2 linked regions of the Arabidopsis thaliana genome follow. The protein of the gene in region 2 interacts with the protein of the main gene of each other region in a biochemical or structural test. Each region holds a gene or a part of one and is shown on either strand. Other genes may lie near its edges.

Region 1 (4,443 bases), on a different chromosome or scaffold from region 2:
AGTGGAGAGTAAAGCCTTTTCTATTAGTGTTGAGAAGCAAACGCCTGACCTAGATGGCCTCATTGTTGAAGAGTTATGCATGGGAAACCCCAACGGCAAGAAAGCTGAGCCTGGCAAAAGGGTATGAGCATTTAGTCCTAAACTGTTGTAGTTTGTGTGCAAATATTTGTTGGAGGTCAGTCTATTGTCTCTGAGTGCAGGTAAGTGTCCATTATACTGGAAAGCTTCAGGGGAATGGGAAGATTTTCGATTCCACCGTTGGAAAATCACGTTATAAGTTTCGTCTAGGTTGGTATTATAACTTGATGCGAAAGTAAGAGCTTTATTAATGTGTGAGTGGTACTTGGATACTTATGTGCTTGCTGTTACACATACAGATGCTGGAAAAGTCATTAAGGGATTGGATGTTGGCCTTAATGGTAACCTAGCTAGTTTCTTACTGGTTTTTCTTCACTAAATATGGTCAAATGGTGTGTTGTTTTGATCTCTTTTTGTAAATTTCTAAAGGAATGCTTGTTGGTGGCAAAAGAAAGCTTACAATTCCTCCAGAAATGGGGTAAAGCCTTTGCAAATCTTTTTTTATTTTTCCATAATGTGATGTTTTATTTTAAGCTTTTTTTAATGAGAGATGATAAAATTGTCTGGCTCACAGGTATGGTGCGGAAGGTGCTGGTAGCATTCCCCCTGACTCTTGGCTGGTCTTTGATGTCGAGCTGCTTAATGTTAAATAAAGCTGCCCTCTAATCCCTAGAGAACTTCCTAAGACTCAATCCAATGATGAGTTTTTTTGTGGAGATCGTATAGTTTTTCCTCTTACGATTTCAAATATTGTGAGACACACTAAGGCCCATAAAGCTTCACAAGTGTGTATTATTCATTCCTGTTGTTACAAAACATAAAACATATCTAAAGAACAACTTAAGAGAAGCAGACTAACAAACTATAGTTGTCTTCTCTATTGTCATATCACTGTTTCGATATATACAGTTCACCTTTATAACAAGAAAAAACGTGTTCTGTAGTTCTCTATATCACTAAAACTCGGATAGAGAATCAACAGTCGTTGTGGGATTAAGGCAAATATCAAATCCAAAAAGCTTCATATTGTTTTGTTTAGTTCTCCAGATCCAAGTAACTCAAGTCGTCGAAGAATCCATTACCATCCTTTCCCTCGAGCTGAAACGGAGGTATTCCGTAGTTGAGGCTTTGTAGCGGATCAAAACCACTTTGTTGACTCTCGGGCCTGTATGAACCGTTGGCAACACTGTTCCCCGGGTACCGGTCCTGATTTAAGCCTGCAAACACATCGTCGCCATTTAGGTCACGTAGAAGCTCATCGACATCAAACATGTCTGAAGAATCCAAGTGACTCTGATCCACATCATTGGGCCAACCATAGTCTGCAACAGATAGCGAATCCTGCTGTTGTTGCTGACAGGTTTCTACAATCCCTTGCTCCTTCTGTTTCTCTTTCTCTTTCAGAATATCACTCCAATAGTTATGTTCAAACTCGCTCAGCCAATGCTTATCCGCTTTAACACCTCTCTTCATCTCTTCCGCACCATTCTCCAGACAATACATCGGCTCCACTCCACCGGAGAAGGGTTTAGATTCACAATCTGGATCCTCTGTTTTCACATGAACACAACCAGGAGTCTCAACAGTACACACCTCAGACTGACTTGAGGTACTCGTAACCTCAGACGCATCAGACCGAGGGAAATTAAGACGAGCCAAAGGACCATACATAGCTTTAGCAGCCTCATCATAAGCAGAAGCAGCTTCTTGAGCAGTAGGGAAAGTACCAAGCCAAAGCCTGCTACCTCGATTAGGCTCTCTGATCTCAGCAACCCATTTACCCCAAATCCTTTGCCTAACTCCTCTGAAACTACATCGGCTATTCTCTGGTCCTCCTTTACCTTTCATACAACCCTTCTTCGACCCTTTCGCAGGTACTTTCCTCTTCTTGGTAGAAACTTCTTCTACGGTCTCGTTATACTCTTTCCATCTCTTTAATCTCTCAGCCACAGTAGTACCGTCACCTCTACTTCTAGATTTCCTTTTCCTCGATGTATCAATTTGTGTTCTGTTTCTATCTCCACTCTGATCATAAACTGCCATCTCCTTCCCAGAAACAACACAATCTACAATACAACAACACTTCAATATCAGAACACAAGCTGAAACATAAGGCAAGAGAACTTAAACTTGGTTCAAAATCAGATCGATTTACTTATTTGTTATCAAATTAGGAACACCTAAAATTTCCCAATTTCACAGCTATACCTAAAAGGAAATAATCGAAAACCTAAAGACGAAGATAAACCCTAGAATCACCAATTGACGAGACCTAATCAGAGAAATTAATTGAAAATTTGTAAGAAATCAGAAATCAACGTACCTATAGGGGACGAAATTTGAAAATCAAAGTCTCTTCCTTCGAGTTGATAAATCGCTTTCGTGTTTAGTCTTCTTGCTCGTATCTTTTCTTCTTCTTCTTGTGTGTAGCTTTTTCGAGTTTTCCTCTTCTTTTTATCAGACAGCTTTAGCAGAAATCAAAATATCTAAGGAAGACAAAGTATCTACGGAGTATTTATAGCCTTCTCTAGATTTTTCTAACATTATTTTATTTTTCTGTTTGAGAGCAAGGTTACGTGTCAGTTTTTGATTCGAACATAAAGGCTTAGACGACTTTTCCGTTCGACGAGTGTCCTCCCGAATCTTCTCGAAACACGCTGTTGATACGGAAAAGTAAAGTTTAAACCTTTTTAAAATTGATTTATGGATAAGATCATAAAACTACTTCATTATTTAAATATTATGAAATTTTAAAATATCTTCATTTTTTTTTTATTAACCCTGACAACACAACACTGTCTCATCTGCTCTTTCTCGATTTTTCTTGGTTTATTGCCAGTTTGCCACTGCATCACACTTACTAGATGTGTAATTGGATGATGATGTTTATTGCCTGTTTTTCTAGTTTTTACAAACGTGCACATTATTCAATTTTGTTTTGATGAGATACTTATCGTTTATATAGATATTTTTAAAAAGATCACGGTTAATATTGTAAAATTAAAGGTTTCCGGTGTACGTACGACATAGAGCGAATTCATAAATGTGTCAGCCAGAAATGTCTTAAACATGAAGTATTAGTTTAAAGTTTAAGCATTAAGTATTAGCTAGAGACGTGTCAAATGGTGAAGCTCAAACTTGGGTGGCTTAGCTTCGAGCAGAGGTGATAGGGTCCATTACCTTATAAAATTTGGGAATCGCAAGTTGTAGCAAAGCAGCAGTCATTTATAGCCTTTGCATGTGCCTCATGTGTCCTTTGCTAACCAAAGCCACTTCATCCACTACGTGTCTCTAACGGCATCGCTAACGTAAGCTCACGCAATTGCCTACGTACTTCAACCTCATGGGCCTTAGTTACTTAACATCCATTATCAAACCCATTGCCTACGTGATACAATCCCATGTGCCTCAGTTAATTAACATCCATTATCAAACCCTTAAAGCCCGTTAATCTAAATTAGCCCATTGGATGGGTGTCGTCCATTTTATTTCTACCGTCGGTGTTGCTACTATCTCGCTATCTCAAGCACGATCGGGTGAGCATCTTCTAGTCTAGTCGATTGAGCCTACAAGTTTCTATCTTCTGGATCTATATGAAATTTCAGTTTGTTTGTTTTTTTTTTCGCTGAAGAGAAATTTCAGTTTTTATTGGTCTAAATAAGGCATGAATTTGGAAATCTGTATCTACGAGTTGGTTTCTTCGCTGTAATGCTTGTTTGTTTTTGGTTTAGTGAACAACATTTGGATGATAAATTATTTGTGCGGAAAAAGCTGCAAGATGATGCCATGATGGCAACACTAATTTTGTTGCTGACTGTAGACTCTCTTTTCTTCGACGACCGTGAGAAGAGCTCTGTAAGTTTGGCTTCTTTCTTTCCATATTAGTATGAATAGGTTATTCGCGTGGCTATGAATCATTCAGCATTGTCTAAGGCCTAGGATCGATAGGGAGGAACGCATTCATTACAATGATTTAGGTTATCGATTACAAAACCATTATTGGAAAACGAGATGTAAGTAAAATGTTGACTTGGCTTGGCCAAACCACGTTAGAATTGTGTTAAGAAAAAACGAGCACATAGTGCTCACTAAACTTGGCTCTGTTAACATCCCAAGGGTCGTTGACCTTATGAAAAAAATGTTATCTTGGTTACAGTTCATTTTTAAAATAACATAAATATTTGATCGAGTCGTAGATGACTGGATGCCAAGATTGGTGGTCAACCCGAATGATCGTGCACACACCTCAGTTAATAAACTAAAACATTAGGAAAGGAATTTGTATATTAATCTCTCTGGTAGGAATTTGAGAATCTATGAGAGATGGGAGCCTGCTTCTCTGTGGCAATATCCTGTGACCAGGCT
Region 2 (5,546 bases):
CGAAACTGACCAACGGGAGTGATGCTCTTAAGCCGATTCGATACGAAAATAAGCGGAGCGAATACAGATATCGATAGCAGAGCGAGGATCAAAATCCTCTGCCATCGACGAATTTGTTTCATGAATCTACAAATAAAAAAAAATCCCCAAATCTATCTTCCTCGATGACTATTCTTATCACATCAAACCCTGAATCGTTCTCCAGGAAGAAGTAGCAAGAGACTCACAAATCTCGGAGATATCCTGCTTGATCAACAAGCAAAAGAACGAAACGTGAAGAACTTAGGGTTTCTGGGATTGCTTTTCTCTAGTGGGAGATTCTATTCCTCGCTTGAATTTCTGGATTTGGGGTCGGAGAGAGGAGTTTTAGATTCAGAGCTTCTTCATGCATCATCGGGGGATTGTGCTCACTTATATATATTTAATTAACAGAAATAATCATTGTTTAATTTGTGTTAGGTCTCTATAAAATTAAATTAATGTTATTGGTCGAACGAATTAATTTGTTTATAACTTTATAGTATATAGTTTTTTGGGTGTTCGTGTTGACATGTCAAATGTTATTAGGGTGAAAGGAAGCAGTGATGCGGATCAGGTGCGGGCAGGTGTACATGTGAAGACATGTGATTATGCCGTTGATGAAGCTGTAAGTAATTTAATGTGATCAGTCTTCTTTGCAAATTTTATCAATCACCAGTCAGACGAAGACACGTGGATAAAGTTTTTCCTCCCTCCTCTTAGAAGACAAGAAAGGAACTTCAGTCTCATATCAATGGATGATTAGCCTATTATTATGAAAAAGATATCTAGCATGTCGGCCAAAAAAAATTATGGCATAAATAGAATTGTAACGAAAAATGACTTTTGCCGATTCTGTTCATTATTTTTCAACAAAAATGTTAACTGGTTAACGAAAAATGTTTAACTAAGTCAAATGGGTGTTAACGTTGACTATGGATGCTTTTTTTTTTTTGAGCCAAGTAAGATTACATTTTGGGTTTTTTCTTTATTTAATGAAGTTGTTGGCAATTTGCTTAATTCGCTATTGGAACGACGGGTCTTTTCATTTATTATGTGTAAAATGGTGGAGGTAGATTATGGAGTACATAACACTCGGTTTAATAAATCATGACAGTATCATATAAAGATACTTAATATGCGCAAAGCTTTGAATGATCAAAATCGCTAGCTAGTGTATCATCAAATTGTTGCCGAAAATCTTAACTTTGACGTCGGTTAAAACACTAATCAGCATAGGACACATAAAACTACATACGTACATATGAAAATTTCTCTGTTTTTCCTAATCACCATTCATCTGTATGCTACTAAAAATCGAGGTGTCAATATTGAAAGTTTGAAACCTTATTAGCCTTCATGCTTCGATTAGCGAATGGGTACATAAGCCTTCTACAGGCCCTTTGGAACAAAACCTCTTATCTGATGTTATCTCGTACCCCATTATACGAATGACGAATCGTTACATTTGGTCGTTGATTCGAATGTTCCATATTCATTGATTAATGTAAACGAAATCCATTATTATAGTTATACAAATCATTTTTACCATCATCTGATTATAATATGAAGAGTTCACCATCATTTACTTTTCAAAATATTAGGATAGCAAATAACAATTTCTCACCCAAAAAGTTGAAAAGAAATTTATGTCGTTCAACTTTTTTTTTTTACAAAACTCTTCTTTCCTAATTAGATTAACCAAAATAAAGAATGTTTGACCTAGTTTTCCTAATTAAAGTAACACAAAGATTTTGACCCAAAAAAAAACGTCTTTGAGCGCTCGTTTTCTTGTCGACGAGAGAGCTCTTAAGACAGAACACAAAGATAAAAAGAGAAACCCTTGTTCCAATAAAATAAAAAGAAGTGACACATCGCGTCTCTTAAATTTTAATAGACGACGACGGCCACTTCTTGTCCGAATCGTACGTCAATTCTTCTTCCATCTCTCTCGCACCATAACATTTATTCTTCAGATCACCAGCGACCGAGCGAAAGAAACGACACTTCTTCGCCGTTTTCGTCCACATGCAGTTTTGGGGATAGCACGTTGTGAGTGATTAAGCCCAACAGATAAAGAGAAAGATGATGATTAAGGTGAAGAAGGAGACGATGAGGGCATGCTTAAGCTGCTCTATCTGCGACAATATCCTCCGTGACGCCACCACTATCTCCGAGTGCCTCCACACATGTCAGTTCCTCTTTTTAACCCACCAAATGTTTCGAAATTCGCTGACATTGGCTTTGATTTCTTCTCAATTTGGATGATTATATTATAGCTCTGTCTTCTTCGTCTCGTCCTATAATCGATACAATTGAAAAGTGGGTCAATGAATAGTTTTTGTTGACCAAAAAGAATATGCAATTTTGACTGCTTCAATCTCTCCTTCTTCGTCTTTCTAGTGATAGTTGATTCAGCATTTTCATGTATAGTTTCCTTGTGGGTTTCAGCTTCTTACTTGTATGCAATTCAATTTGAGTTTTTTCTTATACCAAGTATGAAATTTGCTCACATTTATTATAAGTCATGTTGTTAGTTGCTATCTACTGGAATGGAATAACTTTTTAGATTACTTTCGTACGCAGTTTGTAGGAAATGCATCTATGAGAAGATCACGGAGGATGAGATAGAGACTTGTCCCGTATGCAATATCGACCTCGGTAGCACCCCATTGGAGAAGCTGAGGTAAGCTATTCGTGTTCTGTATTTCAGACTCTACCAGTTCTCATCAAAATATGGTTTAGTTTGGTTAAATTTCTTTGCTCCTTGTTCATCTAATTTGTGGACTCAATCCAATTGCTTTTCTTGTTGGTGAAATGAACTGCTATAACACAATCTCTGGAATCTTGTTCATTTAATACACGTAGCACAATGGTTTTTATGAGAGAGAGACCATTTATAGGATGTTGTAGGAGAATCTAAATAGATCTCTTTTGTACTTTCCTTTTTCTTACTCGTTATTGTACTGATGGGAGCCACTTGTGTGCATGGTTTTAGGCCTGACCACAATTTGCAAGACTTGAGGGCCAAAATCTTTGCTCTAAAACGAAGAAAAGTGAAAGCTCCTGGAATTGTGTCCTTACCAGGAAAGAGGAAGGAGAGATCTATATCTTCTTTGGTTGTGAGCACACCTATGGTGTCAGCACAAGCTGGAACAACGAGAAGAAGAACTAAAGCACCTACAAGAAAAGAGTTACGTAATGGTTCTTTGGCTGAGAGAACTGTGAAGAAGGAAGAATCTTCTGGGGATGAGCTTCTGGAGAGCACAAGCTCACCCGACACTCTTAACAAATTCACTCAGAATAAAAGACAGTCAAAGAAGGTGATCACTGAACTACTCTATTTTCTCGTAATGACTTCATATTTGACATGATTTGGTTACATATTTATTTTTGTTTGGTACACTTCAAAAGTAAATATTCAGTAAAAATATTTGATACTGTTATTGGTCTCACATTCATTTGAGTTATTTTGTTTTTTGCAGTCATGTAAAGAGTCCATCTCCAATAAAGAAAACAAGGATGGTGATGAACCCTGGGATTCCAAAATGGATTGGAAACCTTTGAACTTTCTGGTTGAAGTGGCAAATGGGACAAAGCCCTTGAAGTCTTCTGCTTCTCAAGGGTCAGGTTCAAAATCTGAGCACGCGAATGTATCTCGCAATCAATTTCAAGGGAGTAAAACCAAAACTAAGAATAAAAAGAGAAAATGTAAACGTGAGGATGACAAGAGTAATAATGGTGATCCTACAACATCAGAAACTGTTACTCCTAAAAGAATGCGTACAACTCAACGCAAAAGGTCTGCCACCACTTTAGGCGATTCAAGGAATTTGCCACAACCAGATGAGTCAAGTGCAAAACAGGAGAGGAGAAATGGTCCCGTTTGGTTCTCACTTGTGGCGTCCAATGATCAGTGAGATTTTTGCTCTCATATCTGAAACTATTTCCTTTCATGATCTTTCTCTCTTTCTTCATTTTGTTTCTCTTCTCTTGGTATATTGACAAGGGCTTACTGGTTACAGGGAAGGAGGAACTTCTTTACCTCAAATTCCAGCAAATTTTTTGAGAATAAGGTAGGTTACAGTTTAGGTATTCTTTGTTTTATATATCCTGTGTTGTCGCTGCATCTTACATAGTCCCTCATTTTTCTGTTATGAGGAATTCTTTTGTTGGGGAAGATAATCCAATGTCTCATTCTGTGATAGGGATGGAAATACAACAGTTTCTTTCATCCAAAAGTACCTCATGAGGAAGCTAGATCTCGAGAGTGAAAATGAGGTAAGGGTCTTTATATGCACTATGGCACGAGAAAGGATAGAACGTTTGAATATAATGGAACTTATATGTTTGGTTGATAAAAAATGGACATACTTATGGTTTATGTTCAGATAGAGATAAAGTGTATGGGAGAAGCGGTGATCCCAACGCTGACGCTTTACAATTTAGTGGATCTATGGCTCCAGAAAAGTTCAAACCACCAACGGTTTGCTGCATTGGTAGGTTCTTCTGCAAAGGATTTTACGATGGTTCTTGTCTATGCTCGGAAGCTACCAGAGTGCAACATGTAAAGGACTTTAAAGACTCATGTTGTTGCAGAAGAAGATTCTGTGGAGACAGGGTAATCTTTTCTTTTCGGTTTATGGAATCTCTCAAAGCATTACAAGAGAGAACATTACTAGAACTACAGGAGCAGTCGAATGTGTTGTGAAATTAGTATTAATATTTTTTTCTATAGACGAAATATACACTCATGAGTCGCTTTTCTGTGCAAGAAAATACAAAATTTGTTTCCCTTTTCTTTCTTCTTCTTCTACTATGTGTCCTCTCTGGACTTGCATGTAACATTGTTGTCACTTTCTAATCAAATGTTGTAGTTTAAGATGTTTTAGATTGATTTATATGCATTTATTTGGGTACTACATCATTTCTATGGAAACTAAGGTTTTCAAGAATTACTGTTCAAGTGTTGACTGTGGATGACGAATGTAGTAGAACTGTGATGACCTATATGGAGGTAGAAAACTACCAAATTAACTACATAAAACTTATCTGACAAAAGACGAATGAAGTTCATTATCACTATTTTGTGTTATCGTGAGTACCACTATGTGGTGACAACCATCATGCTTAATATGAGTAACATATTTATATAACAAATTGTTATGATGTTCAAAAAATGTTACGAGTATGCAATTTAACAGATTCTTTTTAATTCATGCTTTACATATAGCCATGATGCTTAACGATATCCAAAAGAAAACAAAAAAAAATCATTGAAGAGATTGCACCTAGACTAGATTGCCTCTCGGATGACCTTGTACATGTGTTGCTCTTAAGAAACGTAATCTATGCATCATAACTAAAGGAAAGTTATACATGTGTTTTAATATCAATTAAAATTGGTTGATTACATACTTAAACTAGTAAATCACAATCTATGAATAATCCGGACTCTTTTTAACATAGACACATGACACATCAACAAGTAGTGTGCAACATATTCTAGAGGATGGTCATCTTAGGTA

The links.
Region 1: the proteins of DRIP1 (region 2) and DREB2A form a complex in vitro, tested with the Arabidopsis thaliana proteins (one study listed by BioGRID).

The regions. Positions count from the first base shown.
Region 1 is NC_003076.8:1,600,328-1,604,770, reverse strand, and holds DREB2A (DRE-binding protein 2A), read right to left. Parts: upstream 2,567-4,443; 5' UTR 2,402-2,566; intron 2,145-2,401; 5' UTR 2,122-2,144; coding exon 1,114-2,121; 3' UTR 732-1,113; downstream 1-731. Other genes in the region: AT5G05420 (FKBP-like peptidyl-prolyl cis-trans isomerase family protein), read left to right, coding at 1-121, 201-288, 378-419, 508-556, 653-731; AT5G05400 (LRR and NB-ARC domains-containing disease resistance protein), read left to right, coding at 4,402-4,443. UniProt on the Arabidopsis thaliana protein: Transcriptional activator that binds specifically to the DNA sequence 5'-[AG]CCGAC-3'. Binding to the C-repeat/DRE element mediates high salinity- and dehydration-inducible transcription.
Region 2 is NC_003070.9:2,078,265-2,083,810, reverse strand, and holds DRIP1 (DREB2A-interacting protein 1), read left to right. Parts: upstream 1-1,713; 5' UTR 1,714-2,103; coding exon 2,104-2,209; exon of another isoform or gene 2,210-2,604; coding exon 2,605-2,704; intron 2,705-3,016; coding exon 3,017-3,341; intron 3,342-3,503; coding exon 3,504-3,934; intron 3,935-4,043; coding exon 4,044-4,094; intron 4,095-4,226; coding exon 4,227-4,299; coding exon of another isoform or gene 4,300-4,409; coding exon 4,410-4,589; 3' UTR 4,590-4,915; downstream 4,916-5,546. Other genes in the region: GAUT6 (galacturonosyltransferase 6), read right to left, coding at 1-122. UniProt on the Arabidopsis thaliana protein: E3 ubiquitin-protein ligase that acts as a negative regulator of the response to water stress. Mediates ubiquitination and subsequent proteasomal degradation of the drought-induced transcriptional activator DREB2A. Functionally redundant with DRIP2.